2 linked regions of the Arabidopsis thaliana genome follow. The protein of the gene in region 1 interacts with the protein of each later gene in a pairwise test. Each region holds a gene or a part of one and is shown in the gene's direction. Other genes may lie near its edges. The genes, in order: AT1G61590 and AT2G21380.

Evidence for each region.
Region 2: the proteins of AT1G61590 (region 1) and AT2G21380 interact in a two-hybrid assay, tested with the Arabidopsis thaliana proteins (one large-scale study listed by BioGRID).

What each region holds. Positions count from the first base shown.
Region 1 is NC_003070.9:22,721,615-22,729,518, reverse strand, and holds AT1G61590 (Protein kinase superfamily protein), read left to right. Parts: upstream 1-3,328; 5' UTR 3,329-3,496; coding exon 3,497-3,940; intron 3,941-4,414; coding exon 4,415-4,550; intron 4,551-4,661; coding exon 4,662-4,798; intron 4,799-4,903; coding exon 4,904-5,027; intron 5,028-5,394; coding exon 5,395-5,828; 3' UTR 5,829-6,151; downstream 6,152-7,904. Other genes in the region: RPL3B (R-protein L3 B), read left to right, coding at 7,117-7,201, 7,341-7,451, 7,535-7,839. UniProt on the Arabidopsis thaliana protein: May be involved in plant defense signaling.
Region 2 is NC_003071.7:9,138,700-9,146,312, forward strand, and holds the start of AT2G21380 (Kinesin motor family protein), read left to right. Parts: upstream 1-2,775; 5' UTR 2,776-3,009; exon of another isoform or gene 3,010-3,092; 5' UTR 3,093-3,133; coding exon 3,134-3,477; intron 3,478-3,619; coding exon 3,620-3,717; intron 3,718-3,828; coding exon 3,829-3,918; intron 3,919-4,047; coding exon 4,048-4,100; intron 4,101-4,394; coding exon 4,395-4,460; intron 4,461-4,572; coding exon 4,573-4,626; intron 4,627-4,877; coding exon 4,878-4,937; intron 4,938-5,130; coding exon 5,131-5,209; intron 5,210-5,302; coding exon 5,303-5,370; intron 5,371-5,502; coding exon 5,503-5,559; intron 5,560-5,640; coding exon 5,641-5,745; intron 5,746-6,023; coding exon 6,024-6,128; intron 6,129-6,354; coding exon 6,355-6,462; intron 6,463-6,594; coding exon 6,595-6,726; intron 6,727-6,815; coding exon 6,816-6,998; intron 6,999-7,128; coding exon 7,129-7,269; intron 7,270-7,483; coding exon 7,484-7,613. Other genes in the region: XK-1 (xylulose kinase-1), read right to left, coding at 1-49, 128-260, 374-626, 747-886, 1,004-1,206, 1,288-1,351.

The sequences.
Region 1 (7,904 bases):
TCAGATCTAAGATATTCTTTTCATTTCAATATTTCAGATAAATTGGGATTTTGTATTTCGTAAATTCGGCGGTTGATTAAAGTAAATGATTTTAATAAAATTATACTAACTAATGAAAATTAGAGATACCTGTAGCCTGGAGCCACTCATAATGAATAGCTTTAACTTAGTGGATGGACTAAAGCGATGATATAAAAGGAGGGAAAAAGAAAGAAAACGAATAAAGGTATATAAAAAAAATTGTGTTAATAAATCTAAAGTTTTTCTTGTGAGCATACACATACTAGTAGATTTAAAATATTTTGAGTAAGACAAACAATTTAAGGTTTAAAAAGTGAACCAACATCTTCCTATGACATTCTTACTGTAAATTTAACATATGAAAATTTGATGGTTTATGTTATGAAACAAAGCATCGATTCCACCTAATCGAAACACATAACCTCACGAATCCAAAAAGCACAATCAAAGACACAAACGATTTTAACGAGTTCCCTGCCAACAACAGGTACGTCTCGTGAGGGATCGGTACCCTCAAACATCCACTAAAGATCAAGAGATACAAGTGTTTGTGTTCTCTCACTTTCTCATGATTACAAATCAATCGTGTTACAAAGAAGAAGAAAAATAGCGAAGAACAAAGAAGAAGAATGAATCAGAGATGAACCCTAACTTGAGAAGACTCTAACAAGATATCTCTCATCATCATCTCTCTTACGCACACAACGATCTAAAATCGAATGATCACGCTAATCACCAAGCTCGCTTCTTTGTACGCTCTGTTTCAGGTTTTATAGTCGATGATGATTTAAGACAGCTCCTCTCATATGATGACAAGTGTCATCATAAGCTCCTTTCAAAATCTCTACTTGGTACAGAGTCTTAGCCTTTTCCTTAAACCCCTGAAATCCTCTGCATCAACTAGAATGTTTAACACTTAGTTGATTCTTGTGTTTACTTACTCTTTTTCCTTTCTTCTACTTCAAGCAGTCTTCAAGTTTTTGTCTAAGCTTCTCCAAGATGATTTAGAGTAGTCTCGAGGTTGAATCATATTTCAACAGTTTACACGTTTATTTTGGTCAAATCTTACACGCACACACTTAAGCCATCACCTGCAGTGCACATACTATATTCTCCTATAAGATAGAATATGATAGATATTCAAGAGATCAAGAGGACAAGTACAAGACTGAGTGGATCTATGTCCAAACATAACCTTAACAATCTAGCAGGCCCGGCTCAATATTTTATTGGGCCATGTGCTACAAAAAAAATGATATTCTTTAAACTCTTAACTCTAAACAAAATAACCTTATGTGACATGTATTTACTGTATTCTTTTTCTAAACCTATTACTAAAACACACAAAAATTAAGAAAAAAAATATGAGGACCCTGTGCATTGGCACCTCTGGCACTCCCCTAGAGCCGGGCCTGCAATCTAGTCATATAAATTTTTCTGAAAGGTTGATTATACATAGTCTCATGTAAACTAAAAATGGTTTACACAAGCATTCATCTTAATACTCAATCACGTATAATAACTAACATACTCAGTCCTTGTTTAAACACTTGTTATCTTATAACCCTATTACTTTGTTACTTCGCGAGCATGCTATCTAATTTTTACATATAAGTGATATAAACATACAATAACTATATGTCTATATCCATGAACCTTACTTTATAAGACAATCATGAACCATAACCATGCATGGAAAATATGCGGATGTGTTAAGAAATTTTTATCGACATTAGCTATTCGAGTTAATTTATTAAGTGGTTTGTATTTGAAACTATATATGTACACTGTACACAGAAGAAAAAATAATTTTAGGATACCACATATGGTTGATCAAGGAACAAAAAAAAAGAAAAGATGGAGTAGAATAAGCCAATAGTTTTGAAAAGTGGAGCAGGAAGAAGCGTAATGGAAATGATAAAGTTTTGTTATAGTAGACATTATCCATTTCTGCATACATCATCCATTATCTCACTTTAACTGCTCCTATGATTTTTCACAAGAAAAAATAATAAGAAATTAATTAAGATGTAAACAAAACTGAAAACCAAAAACCATCCGTTGAGGAAATATCCTTGTACACACTATAAACCCCACAGTAATATGATATAAAAATATTTTCCTTAACAATAAAATGAAATATTTGGGTATAGGTCAATGACCAAACTGTGGATCAACTAAAGTAAATATATTTCTATTATTGGAATGGAAGTTCACACTTAACTCAGAGTCCTTTCTGGATATATCAAATCCGATCAGAGAATTTTTCCTGAATGATCTGTCATTCAGTCAAATTAACTAACCCTTAAGACCCAAAAATGCAATAGACCTTTGTTAGAGGTGGAGGTAACCCTGGCCGAAGACGTAACCATGGCCTAATAGGTTTATGTCATAATAAAAATAAATTAAAAACATTATCTATCAATTTATTCCAACATAACTAAATGTTTTTTCTACTCCTACATTTTTCGTAATATACATTTATTGGCATTTCGTAAAGCTAAAAACTTATAAATTTTATCAAACAACATCTTTGATTACAATTGATTAATTTCTCGTAATCTCTCTTTCTCTTGTAACTGGATCTTCAGAGCCAAAACTAAGTTAAAATCTTAATTTAGCCATTAAGTGAAATATGTAGTGATAAAAAAGCTTCCCCTTAAAAAATCGTCTCCAACTTGTTTGACTAATATAACAAATCCACTACACTTATTAGTTAATGATTTGATAACTCCAAACTAGTCCGTAATTTTTAAATCGCTTACGCTAACAATATTGTATCTTCAAATTTACTAAGATATATTTTGTTTTTCCGAGTCAAATGTGATACCACATGTACATATATCTTTACAATGGAGTCAAAAGAGAAGACATCATGACGCAAAACCCCAAATTTTGAGTAGAGTGGTTAGGGCAGTTGATGAAAGAACGTCCCTACTCTTTCCTCTTCATCCTTTATTTATCAGCTTATCCTTAATCGAAAGCTAGAAAACAAAACCGCTATTTCACATTTTCTAATCGTTATTCAAATAATAAGTTTGTGTGAGTCTAAAAGTTAGATAGCAAAAGTTGCAAAACTATTGAATTTATTTTTCCATGTTTTTTTCGGAAATACTGTAATGTGATGAGTATAATTGGATCTGTTAGTTTGTTGGTTTTAATTAGAGGTTACTACTATAGAACATTTTATAGTTTTAATGTTTCTATAACCAACCAAAAATCCATTAGATCAAAGTATCCGAATTCAAATATCGTGTCAAAAAAAACACGATCATGCAATATACATTTAAGTGTCATAAATTAACCGTTACGTATTACATTGTGACCTATATGATAGTTACATTTATTTATTATACTTATATAAGCATAGTCCGTCCCTATCTCATATGTATAAATAAGACCCAACCCATCCATCATTGTTTTGCCTCCTAAAATCTTACAACACAAAAAAAAAAAAAACATTTAGTTAAATCCAATGAGAGACTCTTCAACAACTGCATCCACCAAATCCTCACCGTTATGGAAACCCTTTGCCTCAAACTGTTGTTCCGTTGATGACCAAACCGTCTTTGGCAATCTCAGCCGTTGCCGACCTTCGAGATCAGAATTCTCCAAGAACCATCTCGGACCACTTCCTTCTTTTCGGCGACTCTCCTTTGCTGATCTAAGCCGTTCTTCTTCGGCTAGGATCAATGAAGATCTTGCACAGACTCTTGGAGCCGACTTAGTGGATTTTCAGATGTGTGAACTCAAGATGATCACTCAGAGTTTCTCCGGGAACTATCTTCTCGGAGAAGGTGGGTTCGGTAAAGTGTATAAAGGTTATGTTGATGATTATCTCCGACAAAGTCTCAAGGCTCAGCCTGTTGCTGTCAAGCTATTGGACATTGAGGGGCTTCAAGGACATCGTGAATGGCTTGTAAGAACGTTTACCAATAATTGCATGCTAATTATTGTGTTATTTTTCTTGTTACTGTTCAGTAATTATTATTTAGTTATGACATACATTTGATTACGCATACGTATATGGTTTAAGTTATAGGACATCCCAAATATTATTCTAAAATTACAAACCACTCCTCATGGTTTTTATATTTTGAAGATTCTTTGGACTCATTTATTTTTAATTACTTTAGGCTAGGAAACTATATTAAAAAATGTGTTTGGTCATAATATGGACTAATTAAGTACGCATACGATACGAGCTTGTTGTTTCTTTTTTTGGTGTCACGTACATTGTAAGAGAATCTTTTTCTTGTTAGTCTGATATATGTAAGAGTTGGTTAGACCACTTTCGTATACTCTTATATACACCTATCATCTTAATTTAGTCTCTAAGAATATAATTAATTAAAAACATCTGATACATAATATGTTTTTGGTTCATATGCAGTCTGAGGTCATATTTCTTGGACAGCTAAAACACCCGAATTTAGTCAAACTTATTGGTTACTGCTGCGAAGAAGAGGAACGAGTACTCATCTACGAGTTTATGCCACGTGGTAGCCTAGAAAATCACCTCTTCAGACGTAAGAACATTTTTAATAATTAAAATTTAATTCGTATCTTAATGTAATTTTTACTGTATTAAGTGATCAGTATTTCATTTTACTTTCATATTAACGTAATTAAATTGTCAGGGATATCACTATCGTTGCCGTGGGCGACGCGGCTGAAGATAGCGGTCGCAGCTGCTAAGGGTTTGGCGTTTTTGCATGATTTGGAGAGTCCAATCATTTACCGTGATTTCAAAACTTCTAATATACTACTTGATTCGGTAATTTACTAATTTTAGTTTGATTTTTTTTTTTTCAGCGTACAAAATTATCCTAAATACATTCTTCAAAAATATATTTTCTTATTATTACATGGGGGTTTTCAGGATTTTACTGCAAAACTCTCAGATTTTGGGTTGGCAAAAATGGGACCAGAAGGATCCAAATCTCATGTCACAACTCGAGTCATGGGCACTTATGGTTATGCTGCTCCTGAATATGTTTCAACAGGTTTATACACAATGATTTCATTGTCTGTTTTTTCAGTATTTATTCAAATCATTAGGGTCCTTTTAAAAAAAAGGATATAGTTTCCTTCTCATATATATATCTTCCATTGCTTTCTCTTACAAAGAGACCATTTTGATAGAGTCATTTTGAGGATTACACAGAACATAGAAATAAGTAAAACATATAAATCTGTAATGCGTCAAAATTTGAATGAATAGGAATTAATTAATTTTATGGGATTCTAATTTTTGATTAATTTTTCTTTTCTTAACTCAACAGAGCTTTATTAATAAGAGTGGACATAGTCATGGTGTAATCAGAATCTAATTTTGATTAATTATCTAACGCATGTGAGCATTATTTTCAGGGCATTTAACAACAAAGAGTGACGTGTATAGTTATGGCGTCGTTTTACTCGAGCTCCTAACGGGAAGAAGAGCCACAGAAAAGTCACGGCCAAAAAACCAGCAGAACATCATCGACTGGTCAAAGCCTTATCTAACAAGCAGCCGCCGACTCCGATGTGTTATGGACCCGAGGCTCGCTGGACAATACTCCGTCAAGGCGGCTAAAGATACAGCTCTTCTAGCCTTACAATGTGTGAGCCCAAACCCTAAAGACCGGCCCAAAATGCTTGCCGTTGTGGAAGCTCTAGAGAGTCTCATACATTATAAGGACATGGCGGTTTCTTCTGGTCATTGGCCACTGTCTCCTAAATCTCAGGGCGGGAAGGTTTCCCCGAAGGTTCGAGGGGATCATCGGAGTGGTAGAAAATCAGCTCCGGGTTCGTTAAGATCGTGAACTTAGGGTTGAATGACCTTATAAAAAAAGAGAGAAAATAACATGTGTGATGTGGTGTGTGTGTATGTGTGTATACGGTCATACGTCTAAGAGTGACATAGTGAGAGACATATGACTCTCACTAAGAAAAAACAATGATATGAATATATAAATATTGTAGATTAGGGTTTTCGTATAAAATATTTAATCCAATTGGCTTTGATATAGTTTTGCGTTTTTCATTGTGAATATCACATCTGTAGATCATTCATGGTGTATAGTATCACTTAATTGGATCTAGTAATATCATATCATCTAACATATGTTTGCGTAATAGATTGAGGTCTTTTAAATACACTCTTTCATTTGATCAGATTCTAGAATTTTTTTTAAATAGTTTTAATGCAATATTTTGGATATATGCTAATTAATTAAAACTAAATGGGCCGGGCTACTTGACCCTAACCATAAGCCAAGCCCATAGAAGGCGTAACCCGTAATTCAGAAGCCCTAGGTTTCAGAGAAAGTATAAATACCTTATTTCAGTTTTCATTTTACCCCAAACATTAATATCTCTACTCATATCGCCGACTTAAAGGTACATAAAGTTTCTCTTGATTCTTTCGATCTTGCTTCAGGAATCAGGACACTGGTTCATCTCTTACCTCATTTGATTTTCATCATTAGGTTTCAATTTATGTGCGCTTTGTCTGTTAAATTTTCGTAATTTGCCTTGGTTGATCATAGTTTCACATTCTCTAGCTGCTTAAGTTTTGTAGTATGTTGTAAAAATGTGTGTTTTGATTATGATATACTCTCAAGGTAGTTCTGGTTTATGATTCAAAATGAGAACCCTCGGAGATACTTTATAAAATCAAGGCCGGAGTCTCTGAATCAGCTCTTTTGCTAGAATCCAGATTTATCTGATTTTTTAGTGAGAAACACTCTTATAGAGCTTGAGATTTGGTTTATCTTAAATGATACCATCGGCCTTTGATCGAGGGAACATTTCGTTTCATTTTTCCAGAATTCCTTAAGAGTATATCTTCTATTGTCATAATTTCTCTGCAAAGTCCTGATTTTTGTATATACCTGATTCGATTGATTCTATTAGATTGTTATAGGGGTTTCTGCTAATAGTTTAAATATGTAGTCTGGTAATAGTTGGTGTTCATTGATATGAGATTTTTGCTTGAGTACATGGGACCTTTTTGTTCTTGCTTGGTTTTGTCATTGGATTTGTTAGATGTTATCTGCTGTGTTTATAAGTTTTTATCTTATTTTCTAGTATTTGTTTCTGGTTGAAAGAATGTCTCACAGAAAGTTTGAGCATCCAAGACATGGTTCTTTGGGTTTCCTTCCAAGGAAAAGAGCTAGCCGACACCGTGGGAAAGGTAATTTCATCTATTCACCTATTTATTGCTACTTCTGTGTACTTAGTAGAATGAGCTGAGGTTTTCTTTGATGTCAAAAATGTTTTGTGTATGCTTCTATGTAGTGTTGTTCTTATATTCCTTGATTGTGTTTTTCCAGTGAAGGCCTTCCCTAAGGATGATCCAACTAAGCCTTGCAGACTCACCTCCTTCTTGGGATACAAAGCTGGGATGACTCACATTGTGAGAGATGTTGAAAAACCTGGATCAAGTGTGTTCTCACTCTCTTCTCTTATCAAGTCTTAATTTTTGCATGTGGTTTTGTACTTAACTTTTTATTAATATTGTTGACAGAACTACACAAGAAGGAAACATGTGAAGCTGTGACGATCATTGAGACACCTCCAATGGTGGTTGTTGGTGTGGTTGGTTATGTAAAGACACCTCGTGGTCTGCGGTCTCTATGCACTGTGTGGGCTCAGCATCTGAGCGAAGAATTGAGAAGGAGGTTCTACAAGAACTGGGCCAAGTCAAAGAAGAAGGCTTTCACTAGATATTCTAAGAAACATGAAACTGAAGAAGGGAAAAAAGATATTCAAAGTCAATTGGAGAAGATGAAGAAGTACTGCTCTGTCATCAGAGTTCTTGCTCACACTCAGGTATGCCATTTACTTCAAATTCACAATCATTTTGCAAATTTCATTTGTTTCTGATTACGATTGTT
Region 2 (7,613 bases), on another chromosome or scaffold:
GCTATGCTATCAGTAGTACCGGTGCAGACAATGCAATCATCTGGAAATCCTGGTCAAGCCAAAAAGAAGATTGAAAATCTATTTTTCTTTTCATCGATTTTTTTTTTTAGACATCAGAAATATTTACCAAATTGCCTTGTAAAGCTTTCTTTCAGATTGCCTATTGATGTTCCAGGAGCTTGCACCTTAGGTAATAACTGAGAATAAGGCTGACCTAGCAACCATGATGGATATGATTCACTCTCAGGATCATAGCCCACCTGCACTCAAATCCAAAATAGGAAAGCACTTTGATGAGTCACATTTCCTTGTTTAGCAGCCTATTAATCTACACTTTCTGCCTAAATGCAGTAAATACTTCATGGTGTGTTACCTTCAAGGCATTGTTGTAATCTGACACTCCGAGTCTACCGTGAAGTAACCACAACAACCAGTCTGCCTGATGCAGCAATACCGCTGATTCTCTGTTTGGCACCTCAGTGTTCCACCATGAGACAAGTTTGCACAAGGTAGAAGTACCAGAGCAGACTGTATGGTTTGCTGGCGCTATAGACTTGACCTCTGGCAGAGCATCAGGGCAGCTCTGGTTGTAGAGATAAGGTTGACACAGAACTTCTCCACTCTCACTGCAACACATAATTGAATAAGCAAAGGAGATTTAAACAACACATTACTGAAACATCAAATCCTCTAATGTAAATGGAATACAGAAACAGAAAAGAGAAGTGATCCGGTGAATTACATGCCTGTTTAAGATGAGAGTAGTTGCAGAAGTTCCATCAAGCGAAATGGATGAGACGAGGGAGCGAACTGTGACGGGAATGTCCTCTAGCAACGAAAAAAGAGTTGCTTTCCATGAGCTTGCCCAACCCATGCTTTCTTCTTTCTATCTAGATTTCAAAACAAATGTCTCAGTCCATAGCTTTCTCTTGATTTTGTTCATAAAGCAGCTCAGAAATTGTATATGATATATATACAAGGATACTTAATGCAAAAGTTTTACCATGAAAGGAGGATATTCTCTTTTGCCTTGTGCTTTAATCTCTCCTTGCTCATCAATAACTGTAAATCGACCTCCAGAAGTACCAAAATCCATACCCAGATAAAGTTTTTCATAGTTCGTTCCTTTATTGCCACTCATAACTCTGAAATCGGAGTAAAATCTAGTTCTGGGTAGAGGAACACTCCTTGAACTAGAGTAAAACCCTGAGATTAACATTATCATAAATGATTCAGCTCCTAAAACCCCTAATAAACGCCATTATATCGAAAAATCTTCATGTTTACCTGTTTGTTTTGGAGATTGGAAGAGCTCAAATGAAGATATCTGAAATTGACGAAGAATCAGCATCTCTCTTTTCCTTCTGAGGCTGCTTTCTTCTAAACTCCATAGATAAGGGAGCTAGCAAGTTCGTGACCGTTGGATTTCTCGATTTTTTCCTCTTGATTTGAATTTACCATTTTAGCCTTCCATATTATTTTTATTTATTTTACTCCACTCAACACCAAGCAGTTGGGCTGCACGTTCTCTGGTCATCTAACGGCTCAGATTATGGGTGCGGATCTTCATATTTGGACCCTTGTAGGCCCACGACCAATAATGATGACAACAATCCCTCTCTCCTGGCACCATATTTTGTTCCACACAAGTTTTCTTTAAAAAATTTACATGTAAATGCTATATATACCAAGCAATTTTTGTCTAATTAAAAATTTACAGAATATTGAAATCATAGCACTAAGACGCAAAACTAAAAATAACAACATTCCATTTGCATATGAACCAAATGGGTCGTGGTCTAGTGGTAATTCATGAAGATGAAGGTTGGTTTTGGTGTGTCCCAAGTACTGTTGATATCCTTATTCATTAAATCGGAACGTCTAAAAATCTGTCTTTGGATACTTGGGAAAACTACAAATGATTTTTTGCTGAAAACATGACTTGGATTTCATTGTGAAAAGCATGCACGTGTGAGCCAGATGTGCGGTGGAGCTCAAGAAGTGGGAGATATGACAACTTCTTTGCCACTGCTACTTTACCTTCGAGAAGCAATCACACTCTATATACGTAAACTACTTGGTATTAGGGAATAAGGACCCACATATTCAATGTGTGTGTAACATAAGTGTTTAATATTATAGAAGCAAGATATACGTGCTCGTAATAACTCCATTTTATTGGATTACTTTCTATTTTATTTTTATTTAGGTTATAATTTTGTCTTTTGCAATTTGCAGGATTTATTAGTACACCATCTATTTAAGGATAATGTTTCCTTTCATTTAGCCATTATTAAATTCAGTACTGAATCTATTCGACATGTTGCAGTTAAGTAGAATCTAACATAATGTCGCAAATCATGTTCCATTGGAATTGACGTTTTTTAACATTTTGAGTGACCCTTAAGAGAAATTACTTTAAATCTGTTCATTATTTTTAGATTTGGTGTTGGATACAATTCCTAATTTATTTTTTAACTGATTCGGTTAAAAACTTAAAATTGAACATATTTCACTAGGATTTCATTTTCTTTGGTTTAGGTTGAACCGGAACAAAAACATTGAACGAATTAAAGGGCAGAAAGGACAAAAACATTGAAATCCTCCATTTTTACTAACCCATCGTTCTTCCCGCTCGTTCGGTTCATTCAATTTGTTTCGAAAACCTTTTAACCCGGTTCGCGGTTATTTTATTTTAATCCTCAACCACGTTCGAATCTATTAGCGACACAGTAAAAACAAATATATTTTATTAATCAAAAATTCAAAATCTGAAAAAAAGACGCTTTCACCAAAAAAAAATATCTCCAATCGATTTCTCTCTATCTCTCTCTTCACCACCGTCGCGTGAAGAAGACGAAACAATCGCTCTCTCCTTGTGTGGTCTCACTATCTTTTTCTCACCTTCGCGTAGCTTAACCATGGAAAAGTAGAGAAGAAGAAGAAAGAGAGAAGTGAGAGAAAGACGAAGAAGATGAAGAGCATATTGCTTTTTCTGTCCCCAGCCATGTGAGTTTCCACTGACACATTCTCTCCATCTTCACATTTGGTGTTTTTTTCTTTTGCTTGATTCTTTCTATCTTCATTTTCAGATTTTTACCGAGTCCGTAACCGAGTTTGAACGAGTTAGTGGATGGCTTCATCGTCGTCTAGAACTAGGAGTCGTTCTCCTTTCTCGCACCGTAGACCTCCGAGTCCTTACTCTTCGGCTTCGTCTACTTCTTCGTCTCTTATAAATAATCGTCTATTACCTCGTTCTTCTTCCACACCTACTTCTACCGTTTACAATTCCGGCGGTGTAACCGGGTCCCGATCTATGTCGATTACTCGCACCATTTCCGATTCCGGTCCCATCGGCGGCTCCGGGACTTATGGAGCCCAATCGTACCCATCGGAGGGGCTCATTGGCGAGTCTGGGCAGACGATTACCTCTGAGCGAGATAGCATCTCCGTCACCGTTCGATTTCGTCCGATGAGGTACGGTAGATCTGGAAGCGGAATATCAGATCCATTTGATACAATTTCACGATTATTCTTCTTTAGAAGTTTAATATTTATGAAATGTGAATTGATACTTAGTCAATTTTGAAAATCTCCCGTGTTATTTGTTTGATTGCAGTGAGAGGGAGTATCAACGAGGAGATGAGATTGTTTGGTATCCTGACGCAGATAAGATGGTCAGGAATGAATACAATCCCCTCACAGCTTACGCATTTGGTATTGAGATCAATTTATTGCCGGAGATAATTTCAATTTACTGTTCATTGATTATAGATTTGGTCGCCTCCGTTTGTTCAATGAATGTTCTTCCATATTTGTTGATGCCAGATAAAGTTTTTGGACCACAGTCAACAACTCCAGAAGTATATGACGTAGCTGCTAAACCTGTAGTCAAGGCTGCTATGGAAGGTGTTAACGGTAAGGCTTATAGCTGTGTTATCGATTAAACAAGAGTTGTGTTTGTCATTGAAATACTTTTAGCCAACTCATTTGCTAGTAGCATTACTTGCAGGGAAGTATTCTGACTCTGTGTTTGCAATTTGACAGGAACCGTTTTTGCTTATGGTGTTACAAGCAGTGGAAAGACACATACAATGCATGTAAGTGTTTTGGAAAAATACACGCTATACACCATTTCGTTATACAACGTTTACTGTGATGTGAAAGATATACGATATCATACACACACTGGGTGATTATAGTTGCTGATAAATGTTTGATTGACATGCTTGTGTTGATAAAAAGTAGAGAAGATCTTGATTAAGATTGACCAAAATGATCTCTTCTTAAATCATCACGTGATCATATGCATCTTGGATTTCCATCAAACAATCAGAGATTCAGCTATACATGCTGTTAATAATTAACCATTGCTTCATTTGCAATCTGCATAGGGTGATCAAGATTTTCCTGGAATCATACCATTAGCAATAAAAGACGTGTTCAGTATCATTCAGGAAGTAAGGGATCTTCTTCAACTTAAAAACTATATGGTCCTTACTGATTTAAAGTTCTTAATGCATCTATTACAGTGTCATATCTGCTAATTTCTTACATCATTCTAAATATCAGACCACCGGAAGAGAGTTTCTGCTCCGTGTTTCATATCTTGAAATATACAATGAGGTATGCAAAAAATTTCATTCCATAATGTAATAGCGTTTACTGACACAATAAATAAACCATGAAGTTAAGGCTTTTAGCCTCATATAGTCATATATAGTTTCCTATTCCCCTCACGTTGAAGTAAATATGATGTATCTCCTTTTTTGGTAACATGTGATATAACTCATCATGTCTTATATTTTAGATGAGTGTTCTTAATTGCTTATATGTCCATCTGTCTGCAAGTTATCTTATTTTTGTCCTTCTATCAGGTGATAAATGACTTACTGGATCCAACAGGGCAAAATTTACGTATTAGAGAGGATTCCCAGGTTTCCATCTTGTTCTCTTTCTCTCACACATGATTACATATGTATATCAAACAAGAGCATTTGCTTGTTTGTATGATTTCATTATTTTCACTTTAACAATAACAAATATGATACTTGATGAATAGTCCATGTTACATCCATCCTGTTTTTATGGATTACCTTGGTTTGATCTAGAGGGGATATTTTTTTATAGGGCACTTACGTTGAGGGTATCAAGGAAGAAGTCGTTTTGTCTCCAGGCCATGCGTTATCTTTCATTGCAGCTGGGGAAGGTAATTGGAAAAATTATTGTTGAGACATGTTTTCAAAATATTCCTATTTGCGTTTCCTTTATTACTGTTTTGACTTTTGATCTTCAATGGCAGAACATCGTCATGTTGGTTCAAATAATTTCAACCTGATGAGCAGCAGAAGTCACACAATATTTACACTGGTACATTTTCAATCTTGTGAACATCCCATTTTCTTACCCTTGATCCTCTCAATGTCCTTTAGATACTTTTTCTCTTACAAATGTCCTTGCTATGCATTTTAAGTTTCAATTTCAAGTATTTTCTGTTTGCAGATGATTGAAAGTAGTGCTCATGGAGACCAATATGATGGAGTTATTTTTTCTCAGCTAGTAAGGGCTTCTTTCTTCTTTCATTGCATAAGTTCTCTCGTCTTATAAACAGCTCTCTCACAGTGTCTCTTTCTTGCTCAGAATTTGATTGACTTAGCTGGATCTGAGAGTTCCAAAACTGAGACAACGGGACTGAGGAGGAAAGAGGGTGCATACATCAACAAGAGTCTTCTGACTCTTGGAACTGTAGGTGTCTCTTTTCTGTTGGAGCTTTCTTTTATTTGTCAGATATTTCCTTTTCAGTTATAATATGATATAAATCAGAATTAAGTATAATGCAAAACTGCCTTAGAAGAACAACCTGGTTTGCTAGTGTATCTTAATGATCAATGCCTTTATTTTCTGATAAGCCTGTTCCCTTTTTGTGTCCTTATGTCAAGGATAACATCTCTAGTCACCTAACCTTTGAAATCGATTTTAGGATGTTTTGATTATAAACTATATCTCATGGTTCAAATATGTAGGTGATTGGAAAACTGACTGAGGGCAAGACAACTCATGTCCCATTTCGGGACTCTAAGCTAACTCGTCTTCTGCAATCTTCACTGAGTGGGCATGGGCATGTATCGGTACGACTCTTCTGTATCTGGTGAATATTTCCCATTTTACTGTAATAGTTTTCACACGGTTGATTATCTCAGATTGTCTAATTGTGTTGTCTTCAGTAGCATATTTAAGGCAATGTTGGTTTGTTTGTATTTATTGGCTATCTAATATACGCTGTGTGCTGATCTTAATTTTAAAATCGCAATGAGCAGAAGCTAATTAAAATTTTATTTTCTGAAACTTTTGTAGCTCATATGTACAGTTACTCCTGCGTCAAGCAGTACCGAGGAAACTCATAATACTTTGAAGTTTGCCAGCAGGGCAAAGAGAATTGAAATTAATGCCTCACGCAATAAGGTCATTTCTTAGGCTTTTGGTCATGAAGTACTTGGCTTTTTCATACAAAAAAGAAGAAGAAGTATTTGACTTCTATTGATGGCATAACCTAAAATTCGGCTAAAAAATACATTGTTTCATATCTTGCAACAGATCATAGATGAGAAGTCATTGATTAAGAAATATCAGAAAGAAATCTCGACCCTCAAAGTCGAACTTGATCAGCTAAGAAGGGGTGTGCTAGTTGGTGTCAGTCACGAAGAGTTATTGAGCCTAAAGCAACAGGTTCTAACCTCCCCGAGACCTTGTTATTTCATAAATGTTTGAGTTTATTCCTATTTGGTGAATAGATCGAGCTATCAATTTATTAACAGCTACAAGAAGGTCAAGTGAAGATGCAATCAAGATTGGAGGAAGAAGAAGAAGCTAAAGCAGCTCTAATGAGTAGAATCCAAAAGCTTACAAAGCTCATACTTGTCTCTACCAAGAATTCTATTCCTGGATATTTAGGTGACACACCAGCTCATTCTCGCAGCATTTCTGCTGGTAAAGATGATGTAAGTTTGTTATTTAGATCTGATTATCACTGTGTTCCTATATTCCTTTTTAACTGTTGCATGTTGGTTCCTCACTGCCCAAGAGGTTTGATACCTGATTGACTCATTCTGTTTTCTTTCTGCTCTTCAGAAGTTAGACTCTCTGCTCTTGGATAGTGATAATCTGGCATCTCCATCTTCGACTCTCTCTCTAGCATCAGATGCGCGACGGTCTTCCAGCAAGTTTAAGGATGAAAACTCTCCAGTTGGTTCTCGTGCAGAATTAACTCAAGTAAGTTCTGGGATTCTTAGCGTATATAGTTTTACATTGAATTTCGTTTATTAGAAGTTTGGTGTATTCTTGTTTTCAATCCAAATGGTTACAGAAAAGGGTGTTTAATGATTCAGTGTCGCATGCACCCATTTAACCTTTCTTTTATCCCATGAATATGATTTTTTCAGTGTTTTTATCAGAAAATGACATTTGATAGTTGTGGCTATTACAGGGCGTTATGACTCCCGATGAAATGGATCTCCTCGTTGAGCAAGTTAAGATGCTTGCTGGTGAGATAGCTTTCGGCACAAGCACACTAAAGCGTTTGGTGGATCAGTCCATGAATGATCCTGAAAACTCGA